3 linked regions of the Kluyveromyces lactis genome follow. The protein of the gene in region 2 interacts with the protein of the main gene of each other region in a biochemical or structural test. Links are inferred from orthologs where the notes say so. Each region holds a gene or a part of one and is shown on either strand. Other genes may lie near its edges.

The links.
Region 1: the proteins of HTZ1 (region 2) and CHZ1 are reported together in a solved structure, tested with the Saccharomyces cerevisiae proteins (3 studies listed by BioGRID, with this or other methods). The link is inferred for Kluyveromyces lactis from reciprocal best matches to the Saccharomyces cerevisiae genes HTZ1 and CHZ1.
Region 3: of the proteins of HTZ1 (region 2) and HDA1, one has a biochemical effect on the other in vitro, tested with the Saccharomyces cerevisiae proteins (2 studies listed by BioGRID). The link is inferred for Kluyveromyces lactis from reciprocal best matches to the Saccharomyces cerevisiae genes HTZ1 and HDA1.

The regions. Positions count from the first base shown.
Region 1 is NC_006038.1:46,466-51,582, forward strand, and holds CHZ1 (Chz1p), read left to right. Parts: upstream 1-3,069; coding exon 3,070-3,588; downstream 3,589-5,117. Other genes in the region: mRNA splicing protein SMB1, read right to left, coding at 2,058-2,633; Rab family GTPase YPT31, read right to left, coding at 3,928-4,541, 4,952-4,997. UniProt on the Saccharomyces cerevisiae protein: Forms a chaperone-bound H2A.Z-H2B complex that acts as a source for SWR1 complex-dependent H2A to H2A.Z histone replacement in chromatin.
Region 2 is NC_006039.1:520,619-525,512, reverse strand, and holds HTZ1 (histone H2AZ), read left to right. Parts: upstream 1-2,119; coding exon 2,120-2,518; downstream 2,519-4,894. Other genes in the region: PLB3 (lysophospholipase), read right to left, coding at 1-745; KLLA0_C05896g (OPA3 family protein), read right to left, coding at 2,963-3,439; E3 ubiquitin-protein ligase HRD1, read left to right, coding at 3,773-4,894. UniProt on the Saccharomyces cerevisiae protein: Variant histone H2A which can replace H2A in some nucleosomes. Nucleosomes wrap and compact DNA into chromatin, limiting DNA accessibility to the cellular machineries which require DNA as a template.
Region 3 is NC_006041.1:751,003-757,883, forward strand, and holds HDA1 (histone deacetylase HDA1), read left to right. Parts: upstream 1-3,045; coding exon 3,046-5,160; downstream 5,161-6,881. Other genes in the region: LYS12 (homoisocitrate dehydrogenase), read left to right, coding at 1-777; rRNA (cytosine-C5-)-methyltransferase RCM1, read right to left, coding at 887-2,362; KLLA0_E08405g (Ark/Prk/Nak family serine/threonine-protein kinase), read right to left, coding at 5,203-6,881. UniProt on the Saccharomyces cerevisiae protein: Responsible for the deacetylation of lysine residues on the N-terminal part of the core histones (H2A, H2B, H3 and H4).

The sequences.
Region 1 (5,117 bases), on a different chromosome or scaffold from region 2:
GAAATTCGAAAAAGGACAAAATAAACAGATGGAAACTTCGTTCACGTGACATGAAACAGAGGGTAAAGGACCTTATCGGTACGAAATCTATAGTGCCGAGAAAGGCACAGTTCTTCTCCATAGTTGGAAAGTCTATCAATTCTATCTCATGATGAGAATTTGCATAAGTATATAAGGTTTATAAAAGTTCTCATCCTTCAACTAAGAGGGTATTTTGGAATAACTAACAATATTGTCTATCAACGTCATTGTTGAATTTATCTAGTGTTTTCAATTCTTAGGGTTGAGTAGTGATGATATAGATAAGTAGCTGCAGTTCTTTCTCTCCTCGAGGTTTGTATCGTGGGGTTGTAAGTCCTGTAATGAGTTGCTTTTTCGTATTGGGGTCATTCCTTGAAGTGCACTCAAGGCTGTTAACAGATTCTTGCTTGACATGGTGTGTAGGTAGTGGTCTTCATGAGCACCTGATGACGAAGCTACCAGGTTTGGTGAGTTTGTTAGGCTACTTAGCCTCGACGAGCTCATGTCGCTGTGTTCCGTGAAAATAGTGTTCACCAAGCTGCTACTGGAATTCTGAGATATTGGAGCAAACTGGGCTGGTTTTTCCACGTCTAAGTACATTGAAGTTTGTAAATGATATGGCACAGGGATCATAGCAGGTAGAGTTGGCTGTGGGGCTATAAGTTTATCGGTATTATTAACTGGAATACCCTGTTCATTCATTTGAGCTAGATTTACCTGACTGGATGATCTGGATTTAGGTCTAATGGTTCTTGGCTTTCTTTTTCTTGATTTGAAATGTGTTTTGATGTGTCTCTTTAATTCGTCATTTCGGCTAAATCGCTTGGGACAACCAGGAACCGTGCATGCGAAAGGCTTTTCTCCTGTGTGTGTTCGTATATGCCTTGTCTTGTGTTCCAACCTATGGAATCTGTTCCCACAAATTTCACATAAATATGGTCTGTCGTTGCACTCTTTTGGTGTTGACATGTTAATTTGTTTGTTATGTTTTGTGATTTATTGTTATTTTGGACTTTATTGGTGGATATTGTATCGTATAACTGGCTAGTAGTTCACTCTGTGATGGATCTTCTCTTTCCTGATAAGGCTTTTGAAAGGATTATGTTTCACATTTAAGTTAATAGGAACTAAACGATTCAGGAAAGAGACGAAAGAAAGATAGTGGGGGGAAGACATGACAAATCGTGGTAACTACCCATATATATATATGTATGTATATTTAAGTACACGGTGTATTATGATGATGATGATGATTACGGTGCTTTGGTAAGTTAAAGTGGGTTGGATTTCCACCATCTTACGACAAAGACTGAACAGCTGGACAATTAGAAATTAATGACGAGACTCTATGAAAGCAACGGAGCTTGAATTTGCACAAAGATTTTTTTTTTATTCAGGTAGATTACTCCAGGGAGAATAATTTTTCCGAAACAATCAATGGTAATTTCTGGGGGAAATTAGTGGAAGCCTCACACGGAAAATCTCGAAGTGGTTTTTCCGGGATGCTTGAACAATCAGTAGGACTATTTCTCCGGATTCCTATAAAAAAAACACACACTCATGATATCGTGGCATGCGATATATTTGTTGTTTTTGCGAAACTTGCAAACTCTAATTCTTGCCCGTTCTCAGCTGAGAGATATTCCGCACCATGATTGTCCAGTTGGAAGCCATATTTAACACATAACATTTCTTTTGTCCGCAGGGCTATGGTGGGGTCATGGGGTATATCTGGAGGTTTCGTATAGGCATTTGGTGGGGTGGTTGAAAAGGGAATGAGGTGGATAATCATATTTCGCACAGGCTTTTAACGTTGCGCAGTACAGGGATATCATTACACTGGATAAAGCTAGATAAATTCTATATCTTCTTGTTCTAGTCGTTACAGTGGGATATCCAAAGTCCTCTGCGTGTACGTAAGAGGTAACTAAAGACATATCTATCAACATGTCTCGGATAATTATAGCTAAGATCGGTGATCGTAGCACCAAAACAATTTTTTTTATATCAATAAGTATGACAAGTTGTTCGCTGGTTTAGTTTCTTTTTTTGAAGCCTGGAGGGGCTTGGAACCGGCTGGGGCGTACCTGACTATTAGAATTAAACCTACTGGGAGCTCCAGAATTCGTATTGATAGGTTTATGACTTGGCTTCGTAACTCTATTTGAACTTTCTGAGTTAGTTGAAGTTATATTAGATCCATTCGTTCCAACGTTCATCTTGTTAGAAGTCTTCCCTTGACGAGCCTTTTTCGCATTATCTAATTTTTTTGCATTCTTCTTCTGGACTTCGATTCGTTCCTTCTTAGAGAGTTGGGGAGGTGACTCAACCGAGGTACTCAACACATGCTCACCCCGTAAAATTATTAGTCCAAAAGTCCTTCTTTCGACTTGCACATTGCTTGACAAGTTTCCTCCACTTTTAAGTACTTCTATGATTTGTTTATGAGGCATGCGTTCCTCTACACAATCTCCCATTACAAGGTTCATATATGCATCAAAAGCCATAAGTTGGCCAATATAAACCCTTCCGTCATGGGTAGCGACTCGTATTCTATAATCTATCAAATCTGATAGCTTCGTTTCCTTCTTTTTAACTTCAACTTGCGACATCGTCCTTGTATCTTTTGTATGATATGCTTAGAGATATAACTATTCTTCTTGGTGAACAAAGAAAGTGAAAAAGACTGTAAACTCGATTGTAAGAGGTATCCTTATATCATGCACAAAAAAGCGGTCCGTAGCAGTGATTCTTTATAGGACCAACGCAAGTTACTCATTGATCGTGAAACTAGTTAATGTTTTAATTTTCGATACAACATGATAGTTAGAATTCATCCACTATGCGGCTATGAAAAAAAATGATCACGTGGAAAATTATGTTTCTTTGGGATTTGAGATAATATGAATTATATTTGGTTCGCAAGATGCGAAAAGGAAACAAATACTGGTAAGCATCTTTAGATCAAAAAAAGCATTGCGTGAGCCTAGGTCGTACTCCTCGAACATCAGCACACTAATCATATCAACAGATACAAAGTTTGCAAATATGGCTGAAGAAATTAAGGATAAGCAAGAATTTCAAATAGGTGCAGAAGAGCCTGACTCTTCCAACGTTGCTTCACAAGCTAAAAGAAGTGCTGAAAGTGAGCTTGCTTCTACCGCTGATGCCAACGATAAGAAATCTAAAAAGAAGAGAAGAAGAAGAAACTATGATGATTTGGATGAAAAAATTGCTCAAGAAGACAAGGCATCTGCTACTTCTGGTGCTAACAAGGAAGAAGATAGTGAAAGTGAAGTCGATGACGAAAAATTAGATCAAATGATGGTAAAAGAAGATGAAGAAGAAGACGACCTTTCAGAAATCGATAGTTCCAATATTATAACTACTGGTAGGAGAACTCGTGGTAAGATTATTGATTATAAAAAGACTGCCGAGAAATTGGAAAAAAATGGTGAGGTTGGCAAGGATGATGATGATGATGAAGACGATGAAGAAAATGACGAAGAGTTCAAGGATCCAGCTGCTCCTGCCCCTGCCCCTGCTAGTCCGACTGAACCCAAATAGAAATTTGAATTAAAAATTTACTCAAGCGCATATAAAAGTTTGTAGTTTCACTAAATCTCCATGTTTGACATTATGGTAGTGTTTCATTTAAAAGAACAATGGATACGACGCAATGAACTGAGAAGGTATTTTGCAGTTAAGAAGTTTCAGGATGTCCTTCCAAACAGCTAGTATTTGCATAATTATGGCAGTCAATGTTATATACATAAAACAAGTGTCTAACTTAATCGGGATAAATGTCCCAGTCGATGATAATTCTGCTTCCCTTTTTCTTTCCGGGGCTTATACTTTCTATATAAACACCCTATAAGGAATGACCATAATACACGTTTAGAATTCCTAACAGCAGTTGTTTGTACTCTTTTTGTGTTTTTCGTTTGGTGCCGGTGTCAAAGAGATCGTAGGTCCCTTTGGAGCGTTGGCATTGTTTCCTGAGGCGTCATTCAAGTCTAGTTGATTTTTGGAAATCATTTGGTAGATAGCAGTAATCAATGCTCTGAACGCTTCGTCAACATTGTCAGCATTCAATGCACTAGTTTCCGTGAAAAGAAGTTGATTTTCTTGAGCATAATTCCTAGCCTCATCTGTTGGAACCGCACGTTTATGATCCAAATCAGATTTATTACCAATGAGTCCAACAGCGACATTTTCATCGGCATTTTGTTTCAATTCAGCCAACCAGTGGTTACAATTTTCGTAGGAACTTGATTTAGTGATATCATAAACTATTAAAGCGCCAACTGCCGCCCTGTAGTATGCTGTGGTGATTGCGCGGTAACGTTCTTGGCCAGCAGTATCCCAAATTTGGGCCTTTATCTTTTTACCTTCCACTTCAATGGTCCTTGTAGCAAACTCTACACCGATAGTAGTCTTTGAATCAAGGTTAAATTCATTAGCTGTGAATCGCGATAGCAAATTGGATTTACCAACTCCAGAATCTCCAATTAGCACGACTGTTAATAAGATAATCGTATCCAGCAAACCACAATAATACGGTTTTTTGATATAATTTTCGGGTTAGTAAAACAACTGCTCATTTTAGAAGCATAAGATTATTACCACCACCCTTGGTGTTAACAAAATTTCGCATGTGCGATGAACAAAGTATAACCACTGAATTAAGATTAAAAGACTCAACTGAATTAAGAGGAGGGACGGGACCCTGGAGATCCCCTGTTGACGGAACATGCCACCGAAACGTTTTGGTTTTAGGCTTCGAAGCAGTTGAAATAACGCTCTGCACACTCCATCATTGGAGGTAAGTGATAGGGCATCACTGCCTCCCCTCCTATTATATAATTCAATTAGCTGATAACTAATCTTTCTCAAAGCGCTAGCACTTGTTCAACAAATTAAAACATACTCTTAAACAAAAAGTCATAGTCGTATCCGTAATCTTCTCCCTGCATGTTGAAATTTCGTCTTGATCGTTTCTTGCTCTTCTATAGTTACCTAATTAGGTATCGTGATAAATTTGGTTAACCAGATGATCTTCCTCTTGTGATTCTCCACAAAGCACGTTATAATCT
Region 2 (4,894 bases):
AGGTATTCCACGTATAACCCACACCACCTTCGTCCAATGATGGGAAGAAATTGTAAGATAGGGCGCGGCCCCATACATCAGTTATAGATGTGTTGAAGCCGGCTTTTTTTTTCTCTTCCACTGCGTCTGAGATGTCATCCCAACGAGAAATACTGGAAAAAATGTTGATACCGCCAGGATTGACGATAGAATTACTAATATCCCAAATACTATTATCGTCAGTCATGTTGTTGATAATTGCTTGAACAGAAGTCCAGTTATTGTAGGCCAAAGTCCCAACGAGCCAGTTACCACCAGACAAACCAGCCAAATAAGTTGAACTTTGTAATAACCCACCCAAACCATGATCATTTGCACCGTCAGTTCTATTATCCATGGCAGAAATCATACCAGCACCGCTCAACATTGCTCTATAACCACCACCAGAGCAGGCAATAGCAACCTTGGGAGCAGTGTCTTGGGTCGCTAACAGTTTATCAATGATTGAGGTGTCATTGGTAAAACCCTTAAAACCACGCTGCAAGAAGTCCTTCAAAGCTGGTACAGTAGATTCGTGTCTAACTTTCAACCAATCCGCTTCATCATCTGAAACAGCATCAGCTTTTCTAACCAAGTTTATATTCTCATCACAATCGACCACACCAGGAGCGTAACCATTTGTCGGAGACCATGCGTTAACGGCATCTAGATGTAGGGCAACCGAACATACCAGAAACAACAGATTAACTGAGTTCAAAAACCACATCAGAAAAGGAATAAACTAATCTTTAACTCGGAACAATTCTATAGATAACCTAACTCAGAGTTGATGTCTGCGCCCTTCACGATAATACTATGTACAGAAGTGACACACTCCAAAAGATTCAATAAAATAATCGTTTGATTTTACCGAGTGTGGACTTTCTATCGTAAAAGCTGATTGTTTAACTGCTTTAAGTTATGGACTTGGAAATCAACTTAATTGGGTCGAGTTAGGACTCAAGATGTAGATGAGAGAAACGGTAGCATTGTTATATATTCACCAGGTTCCATAGTTTATTGATTTATGACAAAATATTAGCTGAGCATTTAAACTTCTATATTTTCCACTTTTCTTCACGCAAAGTGTGTAGGATTGTTATAGTTAGAATTCATCACGCATGCCCGCAAAAAAATGTCTAAAAAAACGCACGGAAAATACAATCTATGTATTACCATAGTAACGACGCACCTAAGAAATGGTACAAGTGCATTATTATCAAAGGGTTTCCAAAAATTTTGTTAAGTAAATGCCCTTCCCCCTATAATAGACGCTGCATGAAGCCCCTATTAGTTGGAGGAAAGGAGGTAAAAGAGGCTGGCAATACAGACAAATTTTCGGATGCACGTACAAAAATTGGAACATTAGTCTAACTGAAAATGCTCAGTTGTCAAGCATTCACTTTAAAGCCCTTTTACTATTCCATTCGAAAAACGAATTCCGGCCCTCATTTAAAATTAAAGGGGACACACAGTGAAAATACCATCATTGCAGTAACACCACTACCATATGTTCTTCGAAATGAGCCGGAACGTTTCTTAAATCCATCAGTGGCTCCTACGCTCTTTAAGGGTACAAGGTTGCAAGCATCTCGAGTTCATAAATAGTTACCCTGCCATGCTGTCTCGTCTGAGGGAAAAGGAAAAAAAAAACAACCGGTAGAATAGCAGGCGGCAAAAAAAAAAAAATCAAGAAAGCGGCAAACTGCACTTCAAAGCTAGACCAATCAAACCGTATGTTCACCTTTGACAACTCCAGACATGTCGATGCCTGTATATCTTCATTATTTCAAATACCTTCGTCCCTCCCGGTTCTTCCTAGCCCTTACCCCAAATCTTATTACTTGTAGCAAATCTCACAATATGAAAGTAAGAGAGGAAACACGAAACTTTCAGACAGAAAAATAAAAATAAAAAATAAACATCAAAACAAACAAAAACAAATCGATATCAACTTAACTTAACTTAACTTCACATAAGTTGAATATTGGACCAGAGGGACTAAGAAAAGATAGAATCTGCTGTTTGCTTTCAAGTTTGAGATATATACGATCAGACATTGCAAGAAAGAGCATATTAAAGTTATTATAGGAGAAACAACATGTCAGGAAAAGTACACGGTGGAAAGGGTAAGTCGGGAGCCAAAGACAGTGGTTCATTGAAATCACAATCACATTCTGCTAGAGCTGGTCTTCAGTTTCCGGTTGGGAGAGTGAAGCGTTATTTGAAGAGAAATGCTGCTGGAAGAACCCGTGTTGGGTCCAAGGCTGCTATTTACTTGACTGCTGTTCTTGAGTATTTGACTGCTGAAGTTTTGGAATTGGCTGGTAACGCTGCTAAAGATTTGAAGGTGAAGAGAATTACCCCAAGACATTTACAACTTGCTATCAGAGGTGATGATGAATTAGACTCCTTGATCAGAGCCACTATCGCTTCTGGTGGTGTTCTACCTCATATCAACAAGGCTTTGTTGTTGAAAGTGGAAAAGAAGCATAAATGAAGCGTGAAAATTGTATCAATTTGAATGAAGTTTAATGAGACTAAGCGCTTAAAAACAGCTCTCTATTGTTATTTCATTATTATATTTCTTCTACTTTTTGACTCTAACTGTAATCATATCCCAGGGTGAAGGGTTGTATATTTTCATCTCCACTTCCCCCCCCTCTCTTTTCCCTTGTCGTGATGGTACACTACTAATTCACCGCATTATCTTATCTCAAAATATCAAAAGTGCAATTTAACCCTCATCTATTCCATTTCCATATTTTTATTAAACAGTTATGTATATGTAACATCTATAATCCAATTCCTACTTTTACTCATGACCTGTTAATATTAGAGCTTGTGTTTACGTCTATACTCAAATACTTATTCATTCCAGAATAGGACTATATACAAGTTTGTTCCGTTAGAATATCGGTGGTCCAATATCCTTTTTGTATTTTCATTTATGTGAGGAGAGTTTTGACTGAATTAATTTTAGTTCTTCCTTAAGACTTTGACATGATTTTATTTGGTCGCTTTGGGTCTTAGTCGTTGATCTCAGTTCTTCGATTTCCGATTGTAAAAAAGCAATATCTTGAGTGACCTGTTCACGTCTATCCAGCTCCTTTTGACGCTGTCTTAAAGTCTCCCACACTACAACACTACCCGTAACACCAAATACAAAGCCTTCGCTGAGCAACGTTGCACCATTTTCAACAGCTTTCGTATCGTTCAACGGACGAATCGTTTTGGAAAACTTAGTTGGCGTCAGTTTGCTTCTCAACACAACATCTGCAACGTGCATTTTCTGGGCCAAACCGATGCAAATTTCCTTGAATACAGCATGCTCTTTTGCTTGCCGCTTCAGCACGTTTGCCATTGGTCGTGTAACCTGCCGTACAAGCAACGCACCCAGTTTCAATGCTATAGCACTCATTTATTCTCTTAACTCGCCGCCTTAGCACGTATACCTATATAGCATCAACTACGCAACCTTAGACATAGCAGAACTTCAGCTTTCCCTTGATATAACTCTTCTACACTCCCATGTATGTATTTTATCAAACTCTATTTTTCTTATACGCAACTTGAAAGATATCGAAACGTTTATACAGACTAAAAAAAGGTTTAAAACTGTGAAATGATCCAAAGAGAAACATCTTGCAGACAAAACTGGGAATCGAAACAAGGAGCTGAGACAGTTTATGTCCTATCACTTTTCGGAGACTGACCTTTTGATTCTTCTCAAGCTTGCTACAACGTCGACGTCATGTTTGGTTTATTCAATCGGAATCCTGAAGCTGGTGCTCCTGGTCAACCGCAAAATGTGTTTCTGACCCAAAAGTTTATTGCCTACTCCCTTATGTCATATACGGCAGCCGCATGGTCTTTACATTATTGTGTAACAACATCTTTCTCTTATTTGCATGCAATGACGAAGATTACCGAGGGTATCCATGCCATGATATGGGGGAATCTCTTTCTATTAAACAGCGTCTTAATACTAAAGGGTGTCATTCACATGCTATTTGGACAGTTACGGTTGATTGAATATGAACATATTCTCGAACGGATATCGTATACCGTAATAACTTTGTTATTATCGTGCTCGTCGATGAATGGGCTCATCTCAGTTATGCAGATACACTGTGTGCTTTTTGTTTGCTGTAGAACGTTACACTGGATCCTCAAGGACAGAATGGAAGTCACTTTCCAGGCAAATGACATGCGCCTTACTTTGAAAGATATATTACTTTCGAGGTTCATGTTCAATTTATTAGTCCTAACAGCCGTAGATGGTATCATAGTGGCATATTACGTTAATAAGATCTTGTACAAATCTAACATTGACGTTACATATACCCTGTTCATTATAAGCCAATATGCTATACTTGGGACAGATTTACTGCAGGTTATCTTACGTACTGGGCTCAATTTGTTTGAGCTTTCTACTATTCAAAACAGAGCAAGAATTCGTCGCAATGCGGATCATCACGTCGATGAGCCTGTTATCAATCACGAAGAAAGGCCAAATGCCGTTGCCATTGAAGAAGATGAGGATGAGGATGAGGAAAATGCAGGATTGGAAGGGAAATTCATTTATGAGAAATTAATTGATGTTTTCATTAGTACTGTTAAAGTTATAATTAAATTCGCTTCCTCTTTCTCCACCGGCAGAGTAATGATGGTGACGGTTCTGTGGGAAGCGATCACTACATTTAAATCTGCTAGAGGATTGTGGAAAAATTGGAAAAGTAGCAAAAGTTTGGATGCATCTCTGATGGATGCGACGGATATACAAATTGAATCAGGGGAGATTGACATTTGTATTGTTTGTATGGAAGACTTTCTACCAAGCCATCAAAGAAAAAGCGACGGTAAAAAAGTCAAG
Region 3 (6,881 bases), on a different chromosome or scaffold from region 2:
AAGAATTTGGGACTTTTCGCTAACGTTCGTCCTGTTAAATCTGTTGATGGTACTAAGGACAGAAAAGTTGACCTAGTCATCGTTAGAGAAAACACTGAAGATTTATACATTAAATTGGAAAAGTCATACATCGATGAAGCCACCGGAACCAGAGTTGCAGATGCTACCAAGAGAATTACCGAAATAGCAACCAAAAACATTGCTACTATCGCTCTACAAATCGCTCAACAGAGATTGGAACAGAACGGTCATGCCACTTTAACAGTTACTCACAAATCCAATGTTCTTTCACAATCTGATGGTCTTTTCAGAGAGGTATGCAGAGAAACTTATGAAGCTAACAAGGACAAGTACGGAGGTGTCCAATATAATGAACAAATCGTCGATTCCATGGTTTACAGAATGTTCAGAGAACCAGAATGTTTCGACGTTGTTGTTGCACCAAACTTGTACGGTGACATTCTTTCTGATGGTGCTGCTGCCCTAGTTGGCTCCTTGGGTGTTGTTCCATCTGCCAATGTTGGTCCAAACATCGTTATTGGTGAACCATGTCATGGCTCTGCCCCTGATATCGCTGGTAAAGGTATTTCTAATCCAATTGCCACCATCAGATCCACTGCATTGATGTTGGAATTTTTGGGTTACCCAGAACCGGCAAAGGATATCCACAAAGCTGTTGATGCCAACATCAGAGAGGGTAAATACTTGACACCAGATCTTGGTGGTAACTCCACCACCCAACAAGTGTTGGAGGATGTTCTATCTAAATTAGATTAATTAATTAATATATAATGAATATATTTCTACGTTTGTTACGCCAATAACTTTGCTATGATTCGATATTTATTTTATCATGGACAGTGGATATAGAACTAATGGACTTTTACTAATCTCGCTCAAAGCATACGGCGAAAAAGCCAATGCCACCATCTTCCTTCGGTAAAGCCCTGATGCACCCTTCTGCCAACTCTTTTGCTTCCTCTTTCGGAAACACCTCTTCAAATTCACTGGTCCATCCTCTTCTAGGCCATGTTGGAATTACACCGGTTCTCTTTCTTACTTTCCAACCCCATTCCTTGACCTTTGAGTCTAAGAGCAAATCAATGACAACTCTTTCGTTTTCTTCAGCATGAATAGAACAAGTACTATAGCATATTTTCTTAGCAGATGGGAAAGACATGGCGTGTTTCACAATTTGGTATTGGAAAGATGATAATTTGGCTAATCTATTCTTCAAATCTTGTTCCTTTTCAAACAATTCTTTTTCTTGCTCCACAGGTTCAACCGAGGTCTGATCTTCATCGGTGTTTGATGACCCAGTCTTGCTCAAGTTTACTTTATCAATTGCCTTACGGCCAAATATACCAGAGCCAGAACAACTTGGATCAACGATGAATCCAGTTACATTCTGGAAAAGTTCTGGTTTACCAAGTTTTGTGAAATCACCAACATGTATCTTGACCCCCTTAGCACAACCCGCGGTGGCAACCATCATCTGTAAAGTTTTTGCACGCTCAGGATCCTTCTCAAAAGCATGTATCTTGACTGAATCGACCTTGGTGTCAACGTCTCCAAAGATATGTGCCGCAACGTGTGTGGTTTTATTGCCGGGAGCCGCACATGCATCGATAACAACGTCAGTACTGTTTGGATTGAGGATGTGGGCGGGGAAACAGGATGCCCTGTCTTGAATGATAATTTTCCCCCTCTTATATTGCTCATGCGAAGTGATCTTATCACCTGGATGAATGCCAAACAAGTTTGGAATATACTCATCGTAATATATGCTCCCAGGAACGATTTGTTTCCAAGAGTTCACTCTTTGTGGGAATTTCTTGTTTAATTCAGCAAGAACATCGTCATATCTTTCCTTGACAAGGATAGGGTTAATTCTGATCCAACGAACCGGTGTAACATCTTCTCCATCATCGGTTTTGATTAACTGCGACAGACTGGTGACTTTAAGTTTAACTTTGAGCTTTGTCAACTCAGCCTTTAACCTAGTCTGATGCTTCAAAATGAAAGTTTTGATAGGATGCTTACCCATCTGAATCCGCTTCGATTTTGAAAGTAAAAGGTCGTGTACTAGGAGCCTTATGGTATCCTTATTGAACAGCGGTTTCCCTTTCTTTTTCGGTACGTCCTCCAAGATCCCGCTCTTCTTAATGATTTTATCTAGATATTCCCTATACTGCCATGTACTACTAACAATGGCATAAATGTGACGAGGATTTGTCTTCAGCTTATATCTTTTACAACTAGTAAGTACCAAGGTCTGTAACGAACCTGCAACTCTCTTGTCTTTAGAGAGCTCCTGTTCCACGAATTCCAATACCCAGGTTGCATCACGGTAGAATTCCATCTCGAATCACAATGAAGTTAAAATGAAAATCCAATGAAATAGCGCTGTATAGCTTGTACCACAGATCCAGCAAAATCAGTTCTAACACGTAACTATATTACGTCTATTCTATACCTCATCGCGATGAGCTCTTGTTACATGTTTCTTCATACGTATTATACATTTTCAATTTTCAGTACTTGAAGAGTCCGATGTTGAAAAATAATTTCTTTTCTATTGTCACCTCAGTTTGGTTTTCTGTAAATATTGGAACTTTAAAACATCAACAATTTCCTGCGCTCATGGAACCATATGTGAAACAGCTGATCTTCATACGGATCTTCTGAGTACCAGATCCTGTGCAAGACAGCTACGTCCATATAACCAAGGTCAATCAAACGATTCTGACGGTATCTGAACACAAAACAACTTTTTTGGCCAGTAAAATTTCGAGAGATAATCCGAACGAAGAGAGTTCTCTCACAGCTTTTCCGCCATTTTCAGTGGACTTTTAGCCTTTCCTCACGATTAGAAGGTAAAAAGGCGCTCTAGGGAATTAAGCGTGCATTGGAGTTACGTAATTTGTGGTTGTATCATTCATTTCTAGTAGACCGTTTCCCATTGAAAGCTAGTTACGGTATCCCTTTTGCCATTGCCTGTCATTCAACATTATCGTGGTTACCTTTCCATAATATATTCGGAACATGGAAAGTAAAAAACCGGCTGAAGAGCCGCTGGAAAGGCCCAGCATCAAGGAAATTAAAAATGAGGGTACTGCATATACTCTGCCCAGTAAAGATGAATCTCAACGGCCTGTCATTGTTCCACCAACGAAGCCAAAGATTAGATATAGTCTTTTGAAAACCGGGATCTGTTATGATGTGAGGATGCGTTATCATGCTAAGATCTTCACGTCTTACTTCGAATACATCGATCCACATCCAGAGGACCCCCGCCGTATCTACCGTGTTTACAAGATCCTAGCGGAGAATGGATTGATTCAGGACCCAACTTTGAGTGGTGCAGATTCGATCGGAGATCTAATGGTGAAGGTTCCCGTACGTGAAGCTGAAGAGGAAGAAATTTTGCAAGTCCATTCAAGACAGCATTTGGATTTCATATCACAGACAGAACAGCTCGAACGTGAAAGTTTACTCAAGGAGACTGAGGGTGGAGATTCCGTGTATTTCAATAATGACTCGTATCTTAGTGCCAAACTTTCATGCGGTGGTGCTATCGAAGCATGTAAGGCTGTCGTCGAGGGAAGAGTGAAAAACTCAATAGCTGTAGTAAGGCCACCTGGTCATCACGCTGAACCTGAAATTGCTGGTGGTTTTTGTTTGTTCAGTAACGTAGCCGTCGCTGCTGCAAATATGCTCAAATCGTATCCTGAAAGTGTTCGTAAAATCATGATCGTTGATTGGGATATCCATCATGGTAACGGAACTCAAAAGGCCTTCTATGACGATGATAGAGTTTTATATGTATCTCTTCACAGGTATCAATTAGGCAAGTATTACCCAGGTACTATCCATGGAAACTATGACCAAACCGGCGAAGGGAAAGGTGAAGGTTTCAATTGTAATATAACGTGGCCAACAGGCGGTGTTGGTGATGCTGAATACATGTGGGCTTTTGAACAAGTTATCATGCCAATGGGTCGCGAGTTTGAACCGGATTTGGTCCTTATTTCATCTGGTTTTGATGCAGCCGATGGTGACACTATCGGCCAATGCCATGTTACTCCTGCTTGTTACGGTCACATGACCCATATGCTACTTTCGTTGGCTAAAGGAAACTTGTGTGTTGTCTTAGAAGGTGGGTACAATTTGGATTCTATAGCTAAGTCGGCGCTTGGTGTTTGTAAGGTGTTGGTCGGAGAACCACCAGATGAATTGCCTGCTCCTAAAAAGCAACCAACTCCAGAGGCAAAAAAAATGATCGAAACAGTCATCAGAACGCAGTCAAAGTATTGGTCTTGCTTTAAGAACAGACATGGAAATGACGGGATCAATTTCAAGGATGCTATAACTTCAACATTGGACACAAGGAATTTCCCTTTACAAAATGCTATTAGAGAATACCAAGTTTCACAGCTCTCATCACAATTCAACTTTGTTCAACTTCCAATTCTTGATTTGAATTTACCAGCAAATACTATGCTATGCACCTCAGGTATCCAAGACTCTGAAACACTTGTGGTGATCGTGCATGACACACCAGAGATTTGGTCTGAACGTGACACACAGACAGGAATTATTGATCCTTCTAGTTCAATTATCGTCGACAATGCTTTGAAGATGATCAATTGGGCAATGGATAGAAGATATGGAATAATTGACATAAATATACCTCAAACACTCTTTGAACATGCCAACTACCCAGGTGTTGCGTCATCACAAGAGATTCTGATATATTTATGGGATAACTACTTGAAATTCTTCCAAAATCTACAAAAGGTGGCATTTATCGGCATTGGAGATGCCTACGGAGGCATTGTCCATTTATTAGGCCATAGGGATACCAGGTCAGTGGTAAAATGTGCAATATCATTTTTAGACAAAAAACCTCTTAAAGTAATGGTGCCATTAATTGACGAAACGTTAGGAGATTGGTATTTCAAGAATTCCTTGGTATTCACAAGTAGCACACATTCTTGTTGGGGTAGTACGGCCAACGAAAATAAGAAGTTAAGAAAGAAGTATGGTAGAGTTTTGAAGGCAGATTGTGACGGAATGACAAACATATTCGATGAACGTTTTGAAGAAGCAACTGATTTCATATTGGATTCTTTCGAAGAATGGAGTGAATCGGAATAATTAGAATATCATTATAAAGATATATGTAATTTTAAAAGTATTCTATAATGCACTTGGAAATCTTCTTTCAAACTCTTTCATTTCTTTTCGAGATTGGAAAGGGCTACCCACAGAATCTTGATCGGAATCCTGCTCTTTAACTTCGGATTTTGCTGGGCTTGTTCTGAAAGATTTTGCCTTTAGGTGTTTAGGCTTAGGTGGAAGATTTGGCTTCAAATGAGCTGGTTTGGGTGGCGGTGCTGGTTTGGATTTAGGAGCCTCATGCACAGGAGTGATCACTGTACTTGATTTACGATTTGCATTGGATTTATGGTGGTCAGATATATCGGTTTTCCTCCCAATATCAGTATATTTCCCGTATCCAGTGGCAGAAGAGCGATTGGGTATATCATCTGCATTGATTAGATCTTTAACGCGCTTCTGGATCGAAGATGAAGTTTTCAAGGAAGAGGATCTTCTCAGTGATGATTTTGGTTTCTCCTTTTGTATATCTTCGATCAATTCATAGTCATTATTTTCCGGAACGAAGGAAAACGAGCTGGTGGACCGCCTATGGGATTTGGTGTTAGAAGAAGTATTTTCAGGAATGGATTTGCCTGAAGTACTTCTATACTTTCTTGCTTCTAAAGATGATTTTCTGGAACTGCTATCACCAGTGAACTGCATTGAGGAAATTCCCTTTCTTAATGCGTTAAATGCGGATTTTACGCTTTCACCGGTATTTTGTGCACTTCTAATGGTTGAAAAGCCCCTCTTCTCTCCGGTGATAACTTTTTTCATCTTAGAACCTATTTTACGAGTCAAGCTACCGCCAGTTGAGGTAGCTTCCAAGGATTCCGCAGAAGACAGAGATGATGCGACTGATTTTCTAGACAGAGATCGTGAAAGACCCAGTTCTGATGGATGATCGCTGGTTTGAGTTTCAGAGTCCACATACTTTGGTCTATCTAAGGATGTTCTGTTTGATGCCAAGATACTTGAAATGGCACCTCTACCATTTCTTACTGGACTCACAGAGGCTCTAGGCACTACTGATTGCGATCTTGTCAGAAGATGAGGCTGTTGATATTCTAGTTGTGGTATTCTCATTGCCCTCGGTAGTGATTCCATTGTAGCAGAAGTAGACAAAAGAGCAGATCTATCAATTTTGGAGAATGGATCTGAACTTGTGTAGTTTGAAACCGTCTGAGGAACTGTTTTTCCTGCAGGTTGCTTTTGTGAGAGTAAATCCTGCTGTGTGACCATAGGTTGACTCTTAGACACATGCAAATAAGGCAAGTGCTGAATAGATGCAGTTTTCGATGGAGTCTGTACGTTTGATACAACTTGGGGGGGCAGATGCTGAGTTGAAACAGAAGTTGGCACAGTTGCCGGCACAGTCATCTGTGGCACATGAGGAGGTGGCGACACCCTTGGTTGTTCCTGTTTATCCATCATTCTTAACAGATAAAAGTTTTTGATTGGACATGGAATGCCTTGAATACGTGAAACCTCTTCTACCACTTGACAAATATTCGGACGTTTCAGAGGATCTACACGTAACATGACACTTATCAAATTTTTCACTCTATCAGAATAACGTGGATAGGCTGGGAACTCGAATTTAGATGCTAAGATGGCAGATTCCCCATTTTTCTCGAACGGCGTAGTATAATAGCATGTTTTGTACAGGAAGACACCCAATGCCCAAATATCAGACTTCTCGTCTATCGGTAAACCAC